Linked DNA regions of Sus scrofa. The protein of the gene in region 1 binds, or shares a complex with, the protein of each later gene. Links are inferred from orthologs where the notes say so. Each region holds a gene or a part of one and is shown on either strand. Other genes may lie near its edges.

What was found.
Region 2: the proteins of KCNMA1 (region 1) and LRRC26 are in contact, whole or in part, in a cryo-EM structure (PDB 7YNZ), measured with the Homo sapiens proteins. The link is inferred for Sus scrofa from reciprocal best matches to the Homo sapiens genes KCNMA1 and LRRC26. Residues at the interface, in NP_001154824.1 of Homo sapiens: Pro78, Cys79, Asp80, Ser81, Arg82, Gln84, Trp88, Ala92, Ser93, Val96, Thr97, Glu155, Trp158, Met159, Ser161, Val162, Trp165, Cys206, Leu226, Leu227, Phe229, Gly230, Leu231, Phe233, Ile234, Asp251, Phe252, Pro256, Phe259, Val260; in NP_001013675.1 of Homo sapiens: Gly204, Cys205, Gly206, Cys207, Ala208, Arg236, Leu237, Ala249, Phe250, His252, Cys253, Ala254, Gln255, Leu257, Arg260, Asp261, Leu262, Val264, Val265, Tyr266, Leu268, Gly269, Pro270, Ser272, Phe273, Ser276, Leu277, Cys280, Leu281, Leu283.
Region 3: the proteins of KCNMA1 (region 1) and KCNMB4 are in contact, whole or in part, in a cryo-EM structure (PDB 6V22), measured with the Homo sapiens proteins. The link is inferred for Sus scrofa from reciprocal best matches to the Homo sapiens genes KCNMA1 and KCNMB4. Residues at the interface, in NP_001154824.1 of Homo sapiens: Phe98, Phe99, Leu102, Phe103, Leu106, Leu107, Arg109, Thr110, Tyr113, Leu114, Thr116, Val117, Asp238, Leu240, Trp241, Leu244, Pro327, Trp328, Asn330, Gln332, Leu367; in NP_055320.4 of Homo sapiens: Thr11, Glu12, Ala13, Glu14, Lys16, Ser17, Leu20, Leu24, Ile34, Phe35, Cys38, Trp39, His105, Thr164, His165, Val183, Leu186, Ile187, Leu190, Thr191, Ala194, Leu197, Ala198, Lys200, Ala201, Met204.

What each region holds. Positions count from the first base shown.
Region 1 is NC_010456.5:79,560,397-79,564,039, forward strand, and holds part of KCNMA1 (calcium-activated potassium channel subunit alpha-1), read right to left. Parts: intron 2,201-3,643; coding exon 2,090-2,200; intron 1-2,089. UniProt on the Homo sapiens protein: Potassium channel activated by both membrane depolarization or increase in cytosolic Ca(2+) that mediates export of K(+). It is also activated by the concentration of cytosolic Mg(2+).
Region 2 is NW_018084833.1:724,598-728,460, forward strand, and holds LRRC26 (leucine-rich repeat-containing protein 26), read left to right. Parts: upstream 1-1,315; 5' UTR 1,316-2,121; coding exon 2,122-2,794; intron 2,795-2,875; coding exon 2,876-3,198; 3' UTR 3,199-3,277; downstream 3,278-3,863. Other genes in the region: TMEM210 (transmembrane protein 210), read left to right, coding at 167-296, 439-574, 804-833, 944-1,124. UniProt on the Homo sapiens protein: Auxiliary protein of the large-conductance, voltage and calcium-activated potassium channel (BK alpha). Required for the conversion of BK alpha channels from a high-voltage to a low-voltage activated channel type in non-excitable cells.
Region 3 is NC_010447.5:34,589,455-34,593,097, reverse strand, and holds part of KCNMB4 (calcium-activated potassium channel subunit beta-4), read right to left. Parts: intron 2,449-3,643; coding exon 2,321-2,448; intron 1-2,320. UniProt on the Homo sapiens protein: Regulatory subunit of the calcium activated potassium KCNMA1 (maxiK) channel. Modulates the calcium sensitivity and gating kinetics of KCNMA1, thereby contributing to KCNMA1 channel diversity.

The DNA.
Region 1 (3,643 bases):
TTCTTAGTTCTGGGCTACACGGCCATCGTTCCCTTTGCAGGACAAGGATTAAAACACTGGTTGACCTATTCTTTCAGAGATGAAAAATACCTATGCTCTGTTAGGTACTGTGCTAAGTACTCTGTTAGGTACTGGGAGATGATGACATTTAGTTAGAACCTACTAGGTGCTAAGGACTGAGTTAATCAACCCTTGCCTAACATCCAGGTAGTCTTTAGTAATAATAACTGCTAATGTTCTTGAGCATTTACTATGTGACAGACACCATTCTAAGCCCTTAATGACTAGTAACTTATTTAAACCTCAAAACAACTCTAGAGGAAGGTGTGTTATTAATCCAAGTCTTTGGGAAGTTAATTACCTGGGCCACCTACTACAAGGCTGGCACTGGTAGGTGCTGGGGATCCAGAGGTGAATCCCAGCAAATGAAGAATTAGCAGCCAGCTTGTCGATTCAGATTAAAGCAATGGGCAAGAGCAAAGCAGCTGCTTGTACAAATCCAACCCGTCCTCCAGATCCATTACAAGTCAGGCCTCCTTCAGGAAGCCCCCCCATCCTGGTAACACAAGAAGTGGTGGTCTCTCCCCAGTACAGATCCCCTATGTTATTCTGCCACTTGATGAAACTGACTTGAGTCAGTTAACACAGGACCCATGCTGTGCTCCAATTGTTGCACACATGCCTGTCTTAAAATGCTCACACAATATGAGGGCAGGACCCATATGCCATTCTATACACCATATTTGTCTTGAACCTTCCAAACACCCAGCATAGGATGCGCCCCACAGCTGGTCATCAATAGCTAAGGGATGAATTGGATCTACGGCTTCTGCTCCGGTGCCCATGGCCTGACTGGTCTTTTCAGAACTTGCAGAAGTCACTGCTAAGAACAAAAATGCTGGTGCTCCAACATGGTGGCCAGTATCTTATTCAGGAAAGGAAGGAGACACACAGAACAGCTACAGGGGAGCCAGCCTCAGTGGGATCTCAGAGCAGAATTGAGTCCTGGGTGTCAACCTTGTATGGAACCAACAGCAACATGTGAGCTTTGTGCCTTGGCAAGGTGAGGCTAAGACTGGCCCCATGATGGCCCCATGTCCATACAAGAAGATAGTGCCACCCAGGTCATCATGGCAGAGCCCCCCAACTCCCCATCCCTGTGGCGAACTACCTTTTACCTAAAAGGGGATCGGGCAAAGAATCTCAACGGCACTGAGTAGAGAGAGATACCTTGCTTTCCTCACCCATAAAACAAACATGGTAAAATCTACCTCTTAAGTTCACTGTACATCCTAAGGTATTTTCTCTCTCACGATAATAGCTAACATTTATTGAACACTTACTGTGTGCCTGATTCTGCTCTGTGTGCTTTGAATGGGTTACTTCTTTTCATTCTTACAATAGCCCAAGAAGGTAGATAGAAACCACTTTGATCTCCCCATCTTATGTGGAAACTGAGGCCTAGGGAGGTTGAGGAGCTTGTTCAGTAACTGGTTGAGTCGGGATTTAGAATGTACTGTGAATGGAGCCCATACTTTTTCCTCCCTCTATTGATTTAAGGAGAGATGGCATGCGTGGGGACCAGGACCATGTCCTACACTGAAGGTTTCCAGGAACGTCAGTTGTTGTTTCTATTATTATTACCTTGCACCTTGCTTCCTCTTATGTCTGTGCCTTGCTTTGTCCCTATGTCAGTCCTGCAGTCATTAAGAACCCACGCCATGCAGCTAGTCATCCATATCAGACACTGGACACATCTGGACCACACAGATCCAAATAGCTGGGGGGCGAGTAATGACATGTTTGACCCATAACGGATCCCGCTGTCATCTTCCAGAATCGCCTCCACAGGAACAGGTGCTGCTCTCATCTCTGAAGGAGGGTGTTGCTTCTCTTTCCGTCAGTTCCATGTCATCCTCTCAGTGAGGCCAGTGCAAATGGGAGCTGATCCATCTCCACCCTGTCCTCCCCTACATCACTGTACCCTGAGACCTCCCCTACATCACTGCTCCTACAGACACCCCAGGAGTCCCCCTCCCTCACTGGGCCTGGTTGGGAGGAGGGTCTTGAAAGAACAGGGACCTCTTACTTGTGAAGAAAGACGATCTCCACGTTGACGTCGTCCCGGTCCTTGTGAAGAAAGTCCTTTAGGAAGTTGGAAACGCTCTCCAGAGTGATGTGTCCACAGACCACAATGTGCCTGAATGAGAGAGGCCAGTTAAGTGAGGTCAGCCCAGGGGTGAGCCGGCACCGCCACCCCCCAACCCCTGCGAGACAGAGGAAGCGCACAGCTGCAGAGAAGCATCACGGTCTCCAAAGAGGCCTTGTTAAAGCCCAGCTCCCTTCCCCAGAGGGCGGCGAGGCATAGCAGCAGGGCCGGAAGGCGCTCAGAGCCTCCTCAACAGAAAAGCATATGGCTTCTCACCTGATGCTGCACAAAATCCTATTAAAAGCCCAACCGTTTGGCCAAGTGGTTTTATGCATTTAACAATAAGTGACATTATGCTTGTGCTTAAATGCTGCATTATCAGGTCCCCTGCAGATTCATATCTCTCCCTTTTTGCCCACAAAGCGTCCTCCCGGGAGATTTACCGAATGAGTCTTGGTTTATGACATAGAGCTTATCAGGTAATGAGATAACAAATCTTGCTGAAACGATGATTTTGTGTGTAAGAAAGCGGACTTTTATCAGGGTGGCTAATGTGCAGCTTGACACGTTATGGGCTCTGCTGGCCATAAGCAGTAAAAAGGAAATTTTGCATTTTTCCGCCATAACTCCTCCGACAATGGGGGCATGTAACACTTTACAGTAAGTGAGCATCACTCAGGGCTAAATGGGGCTGGGACTCCTATGGAATCTGAGATCATGCCGCAGGCTGTGCCTCCCCAGACAGCTGCTTCCTTAGGGGTTGTGAGATTTCCACAAGAGACAAAGAAATTTACCTCAAGATGGGGAGAAAAGCAGGAAGGGGTGGGAATGAAATTTGCCTGTGTCATGGCAGTTCTGTTTCTGGAGACGATGGCTTACCCCGAGGAGAAGAGTCCATCTTCCAGAACTACTGAACAACAGAGCCTCCCACCACCTTTGGGCTCCTGGGCCAATTTTGACACTGGGCTATACTTTGGCCACTTATATTCATATATATGACGTTCAATCAGGAGTAAGCTCCCTTGTGCAAGAGTTAACCCCATGACTGGATGTGGCGAGGGAACCCGCTGGCTTCCAGTAAAGGGCCTGTAGCAAAAGGCTCAGCCCAGGTCCCTGTGCCCCTCCAGCTGGTAGTGACAGAGGCTGACTCCCTGGCTGGGCTTTGCAGCATGGGCAGGTGGCAAAACAGTCATTTGGTAGGAAAAATTTAGAATGGCCAGGTCCCGTGCACTTGGTAATTGCTCTGAGCACTTTCCAAGAAGGCAGAAGGCTCATTGGCTGGAGGCAGCTCCTAAGAGGAGGCAGTGATGATCGCTTATGCAATGTTCCATTAGATGCCATTACAGGAGCTGCCCTTTCGTTGTAATTTGGTGCTTGACTAAGTATGTGAGAATAATGCAGTAAACTCATTGGTGAAAGGATAATGATGCAGAACAAAGAGTAAATCAATAATACGTACAAGGCAGTTAATAATATCGCCATTATGGACTGTTA
Region 2 (3,863 bases), on another chromosome or scaffold:
CCTTGGACCCGGCCAGGCACACCTGGATGACTCCCAGGCCCCTGCCCCCTGCGCCGGGGCCGCCCGCCCAGGGCGCCTCGAATCCCAGCGCCCGAGGGCAGTGCAGCGCACGGGCCCTGCCCCCGCCCCCGGCCTCACAGCCCCACTGTGAGGTCAGCACCTTCCGATGAGTTCCGTCCAGAGGTGTGCCGCGGGGCGGGGGCTGGACATGGCCCCCTGTCCCCAGCCTGACTCCTGCCTGCTTGGCAGCCCGCTTGGCCTGCTGTGTTTGTCCCTTTTGTCCATCCCTGCTGCAGGTGCCTCCTCTTGTCCCCAAGCCCCGCCCCCAGCCAGGGCCCCTCCCTCGTCCTGCTGGCCACCGGGGTGCGGGGTGGCCTCTGGGGCCATCCGCTGGCAGGTGACGACAGACCCTTGGCCTTGTGGGCCCTGTCTCTGCAGCTGGAACCTACTGCGAGTGCAGCCTTGGCCTCAGCCGCGAGGCCCTCATTGCCCTGCTGGTGGTGCTGGCGGGTGTCAGCGCCAGCTGCTTCTGCGCCCTCGTCATTGTGGCGATGGGCGTCATTCGAGCCAAGGGGTGCGTGAGCCCCGGGGTCAGGGTGGGTGGATGAGGGCCTCTGAGCTACGCTGCCCATCCCAGGCCCTTGGTCTTGCCGGGGGAGGGCCCTCTGCTCCTGGGCGAGGTCACCAGGGACTTGGGAATGGCGTTTCCCAGGCTGGACTGGGGAGAGGTGTGCGGAGCACTTCTGGGCTCTTGGAGGCCACCCCCACTGTTCCCGGACTCACATCTTATCTTTGCTCCCCAGTGAAACATGCCCTGGACACATGGACAGCAGGTGAGTGACCCCAGGGGAGGACCCTGAGGGTGAGCTGGGGCCCCTGCTGCTGGCCCCGGGGAGGGTGGCTCGGATACGTCAGGCTGCCTGACCTGGACCGTGCTGTGCAGGTTGGTGGGGCACTTTGGGGTTCAGGAGGATCGCATGGACCTGCACACGGTGCACGTGGAGTCCCACCTCATGGACCCCGACCTGGACGCCTCCATGATGCCTCCCCTGGAAGATCAAGGCCTCACAGCTATCACCATGGACTCCGGGAACCTGGAGGAGCCGCCCGCCCCCACCACCTGAGTAGGGCTTGGGGCAGCTCAGGGAGGGGAAATAAATAGTATTTAGTGCTTCTGAGCCTCCCCCTGCTGCCCCCGGGAGCCCCTGTGCAGATGCCTTCTGGGCCGTGGGAGGGGTGTGGGCACACACACTCGGGTCGCCTCCTTCATCCTCAGTGGGGTGCCCAGTGCCCGTGCTAGGCGCCTCCTGTCCACCTTCCAGGGTAGGGAGCCCCACCCCTGGTCCTTCCACTTCCTCCTGTCGTGGCCTCAGCCCGGCTCGTTCCTGCTGCTTTGTCCCTGAAGCTGGCAGGCCCGGGTGGGCCCTTGCCACCCACCCCCACCCCAGGGAACCGATGCAACTCCAGTGACTCCAGAGGGAGCAGTGTTTGACAGGAGGATTTGGGCTGGTGCCCCTGCGCCACCCACAGTCTCCTTGAAGTTCCGGGAGAGTCCTTGGAGGGCAAGGTTGGGCAGGGGTGACAATGCCCCCGCTTCTGCAGGTGTGCAGCCCTCTGCCCCCCTCGCCTGTCCTCCGGGCTCGGGCTGAATAGGGTGCTTGTGCCCCAGCAGTCATTCGCCATGGGACTGCGTGTGCATGTGTGCGCCAGGATCACGTTGTGGTGCCAGAGACAGGCGGAGACTGGGCTCCCTCCAGGTCCCATTCCGTGTGTCCATCCCTGAGTTTGAGTTTGGTGGGGGGGCGACGGACGGTGTGGTCCAGTTGCTCAGGCCTCGCCAGGGTGTGGGGTGGTGGACCACGCCCATGGTCAGGTCAAGAGAGGGGTGGCTTCTTGTCAGTACTGCTGCTGGAGTGGAGCCAAGGAGAGCTCAGAGCTTCGGGACAGGTGGCTGGCAGTGCCCGGCGCTGGCTGTGTGCCCAGCCTCCGCCCTAGGCGCGGGACCAGCTGTGGGACAGGAACTGCCTGCACTTGGGCCGGAGAGTTAATATTTGTGCCGGCGCCCCGGGGACGGACAGGCTCCAGAGACGCGCCGGCAGCTGGCCTCCAACTGGTGCCCCCATGGGCAGCCCCTCCTTTTTCTCGCGGCGGCTGCCGCCGCTGTGGCTACTGCTGCTGTCGCCGTGGCCAGTCTGGACCCAGGCGCTCCCAGCAGCCACCCCCTCCGGACCCCCGGGCGCCCCGGACTGCCCGGAGGCGTGCGTGTGCGCGCCGGGCGGCCAGGCCAACTGCTCCGGGCGCGCGCTGCCCGCCGTGCCGGGGGGCCTGAGAAAGAGCGTGCGTATTCTGCTGCTGGACCACAACCGCGTGCGGGCGCTGCCTCCCGGCGCCTTCGTGGGCGCTGGCGCGCTGCTACGTCTGGACCTGCACGAGAACGGCCTGCGCTGGGTGCACGCGTGGGCCTTCTGGGGCCTGGGCGCGCTGCAGCAGCTCGACCTCAGCGCCAACCAGCTGGAGGTGCTGGTGCCCGGCACCTTCGTGCCACTGCGGGCGCTGCGCGACCTCTCGCTGGCGGGTAACCGGCTGGCGCGCCTGGAGCCCGCCGCGCTGGGCGCGCTCCCGCTGCTGCGCGCGCTCAACCTGCGGGACAACGAGCTGCCGGCGCTCGCGCGGGGCCTCCTGGCCGGCCTGCCCGCCCTCGACACGCTGCGCCTGCGCGGCAACCCCTGGGCCTGCGGCTGCGCGCTGCGCCCGCTCTGCGCCTGGCTGCGCCGGCACCCGAGCAGCGCGCCAGGTGAGCCCTCGGGAGCGCGGGCGGGGCCGGGCCCTCGCCGCCGCCGCCGCCGCCGCCTGACGCCGCGCCCGTGTCCCGCAGAGGCCGAGACGCTGCTCTGCGTGTCACCCGGGCGCCTGACGTTCAGCCCCTTGGCCGCTCTCCCCGACGCCGCCTTCAGCCGCTGCGCACAGCCGCTTGCCCTGCGCGACCTGGCCGTGGTCTACGCGCTCGGGCCGGCCTCCTTCCTCGCCAGCCTGGCCACCTGCCTGGGGCTGGGCTCGCTGCTCACCGCCTGCCGCGCGCGCCGCCACCGCGCCGCCGCCGCCGCCCGCCACCCGCTGAAGAGACTGCCGGAGCCCGGTTCCGGCACCGCCTCGCCCGCGGACCCCGGGAGCCCCGCGGCCGGCACCGCCCAAGCGTGAGCGGGCTGCGGCTGCCCTCGGCTCTTGCCCGGTCCCCTCTTTCACACTCCCTGCAGGCAACAAGCGACACTGAGCGAAAGTTTCGTGACATTCCTTTTGGCATCACCACTGCACACACCGGGTCGGGGGTCGGTGCGCGCCGGGCCCCTGGGGCAGCGGGGCAGCGCGCGGTCGCGCACGAGGAGCGGGGGAGGCACGCGCCTGGACACGGGAAGGGCTGGGCCTGTACAAGGCGGCGCGCAGGGCTGAGGACAGTCCCGAGCTAGCGTCTGGGGAGGCCCATCCTGGGCAGCAGGCCAGAGGAGGCCAAGAGAAGGCTCAGCCCTCGCGGAGTCCGGAGAAGGTGCGAGGCAGTGGGGAGCCCGAGCGCGCGCCCCTGGGAGGCGGCCGCCGGCTGGCAGGGGAAGGGGGGGGTCAGGGTTTGCAGTGGGCAAGGGCAGGGTCCAGCGGAGGAGGGTGTGGGCAAGAAGAGGAGAGAGGTGGAGCGGAGGCTGGGAGGTGCGGGCGCTGCAGGAGGAGGCGACCCCGCCAGCTGGGGCCAGGGGCCCCCACGGTGGCGCTGGTAGTGGCTGGGGAAGGATGGGGCTTCAGTCTCTGCTCCAGGCCCCTCCGCCCGGGGGCCAAGGTAGCCCGTCTCCCCTGCTCAGAGACCCCAGGGCCCTGCC
Region 3 (3,643 bases), on another chromosome or scaffold:
GATGCAAACAAGGAAACTTTTTCTAAACAAGGATACCTGAGAGGCTGGCTATGGGAAGCTGGGAAAAGGTTTCCTAACCTCAAGAAAAATATACCAGGAGGGATAGGTCGCTGTCTTTTTTTTTTTTTTTTTTTTTTGTCTTTTTGCCTTATCTTGAGCTGCTCCCATGGCATATGGAGGTTCCCAGGCTAGGGGTCCAATCAGAGCTGTAGCCACTGGCCTATGCCAGAGCCACGGCAATGCAGATCTGAGCTGCGTCTGCAACCTACACCACAGCTCACAACAATGCCAGATCCTTAACCCACTGAGCAAGGCCAGGGATCGAACCCGAAACCTCATGGTTCCTGGTCGGATTCGTTAACCACTGAGCCACGATGGGAACTCCATACCAGGAGGGATAGGTTGCTTTCTGGCTTTGGATATTGCTGTGCCTGGCTATGACATCTGGAACCACAGCCACCATATTGTATCCATGAGGGGAGCCACCCAGAGGTAAAACTGAGATGTAGAAAGGAGCAGCATTCTTAATGATGTTAAGGCACTGTATCAAACTACCCTACTACTGGTCCACCTGTGCATTCTTGAATGCATGAAATAATCAATTTCTGAATTATTATGCTACTTTGAGTCAGTTTTCTGTTGTCCTGCAGCAGATGGCATCCTAAGTGGTATACAAATAAATCAAACTTGAAGATCAAGGGAAGCCATCCAGAGATGGTAATATCAGAGGCGAAGGCAGAACAAGGCAGTCAAGAAGCAGGAGAAGCAAATTAAAACACATGGCAATAAACATATAAGATATTCTTGGAACTTCATATGGATAAGAGTGGCTATTGAACAGACTATAAGCATGGAGATAAAGCTGGAGAGGAGGGCATCTGGGGTGGGAGCTTGAGGAGGCTTGCATGCTGTGAACTGGATGAAATGTGGCCACAAAACCTTTGTGGCTTCTTCTGGCAGGAAGCCGAGTCTATTTCAACCTCCTGTGAATCTGATCAGCCTCATGATTTGCTCTGACTGGTAGAACATGTCCAAAGGGATGTTACGTGAGCTCCAGAGACAAGGTCTGGCTCTCTTTACGTGCTCTCCTGAGGCTGCCGTATTGTGAGGAAGGCAGTCCTGCCTGCTGGGGGATGAGAGGCCAGGTGGAAGAGGAAGGAGTGCGCTTCAGCTGAGCTGGCACCATGTGCTGGGCATGAGGGAGGAGGCCACCGTGGACCACGTGGCAAGTCCCCCCATCATCTGACTGCACCTGAGCCCAGGAAGGACCAGCAGATGAATCTCCTAGCCAACCCACAGAATCATTAAAAATAAGAAATCACTGTTGCAGAAGGTGACTAGGTTTAGGGTGGTTTGTTACACAACAACAGATACTGGATACACAGGCCATGCCAAGATGTTTGGACTTTACTCTGAAGACTATGAGGAGTAACCTGATCGGACTCATGTTTTAGAAAGATCGCTTTGGCAGTGATGTGCAGAATACTTTGGACAGGGATTGGGGTGCAGGGCAAGGGTAGAAGAACTGGTTAAAGGACTGTTATGCTAATAGGGCTGAGCAACAGTGTGAATCTGAACAAAAACAGGGGCAAGGGAAGGCAGAGAGGAGTTAATGCAGGCATGAAATTAATGGGATGGTGCATATAGATTATGAAGTGTCAAGGAGAAAAGTGAGCTAAGAATTAGTCCAAGTTTCTGGACTAGGTAAATGAGTGGACGACAGTACCATTCACTAAGAGAGAGGCTATGGGAGGAAGAGAAAGTCAGACAGAACTGCGGAACAGCAAGCAGTTGAGAATACTGGATAAATGCTTGATGAACAAATTACTGTGAACAATCTGGGTGGCACTGAAATATCCTGGTGCAAGGAGCCACTGCTATGTGGCATGACTTGAGTTTTAAGTCAATTACAGTTTTCATGGTGTGAACTCCTTTCATGGACACTTCATCAGGACACAAAGGGGAAAAAACGGTAAGATTTGATGTCTTCCAAAATGCTGATCAATCTGCATATTGTCCATTGCATTAATCGCCAATTCTCAGGGAACATTTCCAGTGTACAATGTTCCTACCTAAAGGCACTTTCTTAGTGGAGCCAGAGGGTAAACTCTATGGCACAAGTTCTTTTTTTTGGCCACAGATTCTCGACATGCCTCCCATCTTGTAGAGCAAGGAGGGGCTTCTCCAACTTGATGCCAGAAAGAGCGAGACCATCTCCATCTCAGATACTTTGTCAAGCGTGCACAATTTATGATTTACTAATACAACACCTACGGAGGCTACAAACAGCTTTAATATGCACATGTAAACATTGGCTTACCTTTGAAATTGATTAAAATAGCAAGTAAATGGCTGGGAACCAATCTCATCTTTCCAGTACTGTTGCCAATTCATGACACTTTCCAAGTTCTTCTGATTTTCTCTCTTACAGGGAGGGATATAGGAGCACTAACAAAATAGAACACAGAAAGTAAACCTATTATTCTACAGAACATTGAAATACAGTCCTTTTTTTTTAATAGAGAGATGGCATTATGCTGATAGGAAATCTAATTCTGACCTACTTAATTTCTAATTTAACCAAATTGAAATTGCTAAGCTATTTCAGATTTCTAATTTGGCGCAATTACAGAAAGTATTCCAATAACAAAAAAATAGGCCCCAAATAACTTTCAGTCATTATAGTCTAAAGATACTTTATAAACAATTAGTTACAACCTATAAGCAAACCGAAAGCATAATATACTCTGTCTTTGAGGGCCTGTCCATCAACAAAGGGAAGCAACACAAAAGGTCGTTTTCATCCTCAATTTCTAATGGACCTTGATATTTTCCTCTCCTACTATTAATTAACAAATAAAGCATGTAGCTCTGCTCAGATATTGCTCTCAACCACTGAAACTCCAGTTTTCTTGCTTGCTTTTTAGGGCCTCACCTGTGGCATTTGGAGGTTCCCAGGCTAGGGGTCCAATCAGAGCTACAGCTGCCAGCCTACACCACAGCCACAGCAACGCCGGATCCTTAACCCAATGGGCAAGCCCAGGGATTGAACCTGCATCCTCATGGATCCTAGCCGGGTTTGTTAACTGTCTTTTTGCCTTTTTTTTTTTTTTTTTTTTTGTCTTTTTGTCTTTTTGCCTTTTTTTTTGTCTTTTTGCCTTTTCTGGCACCGCTCCCGGGAATATGGAGGTTCCCAGGCTAGGGGTCTAATCAGAGCTGTAGCCACCGGCCTAAGCCAAAGCCACAGCAACAAGGGATCCAAGCCGTGTCTGCGGCCTACACCACAGCTCATGGCAACGCCGGATCCTTAACCCACCGAGCAAGGCTAGGGATTGAACCCACAACCTCATGGTTCTTAGTCGGATTCGTTAACCACTGAGCCATGATGGGACCTCCTAAGAGCTGATATTTCTTTCAGCTCTACAACTGGAACTAGAGTCTGGTGCTTCATCTCATTCTGCTCTCAGATGTTTAACCAAGGTGTTTCAGTATTAGCAAACAAGAAAAAATCCATTATCTTTACAGCATCATTTGAGCCGCATTATTTTAGAGCATATATTTTGTCAATACCTTCTCACCATCTTCTGGTAAAATACAAACTTTTGAGTACTATGTACAAAGTTCTCCATGATCTCGCCTCTGC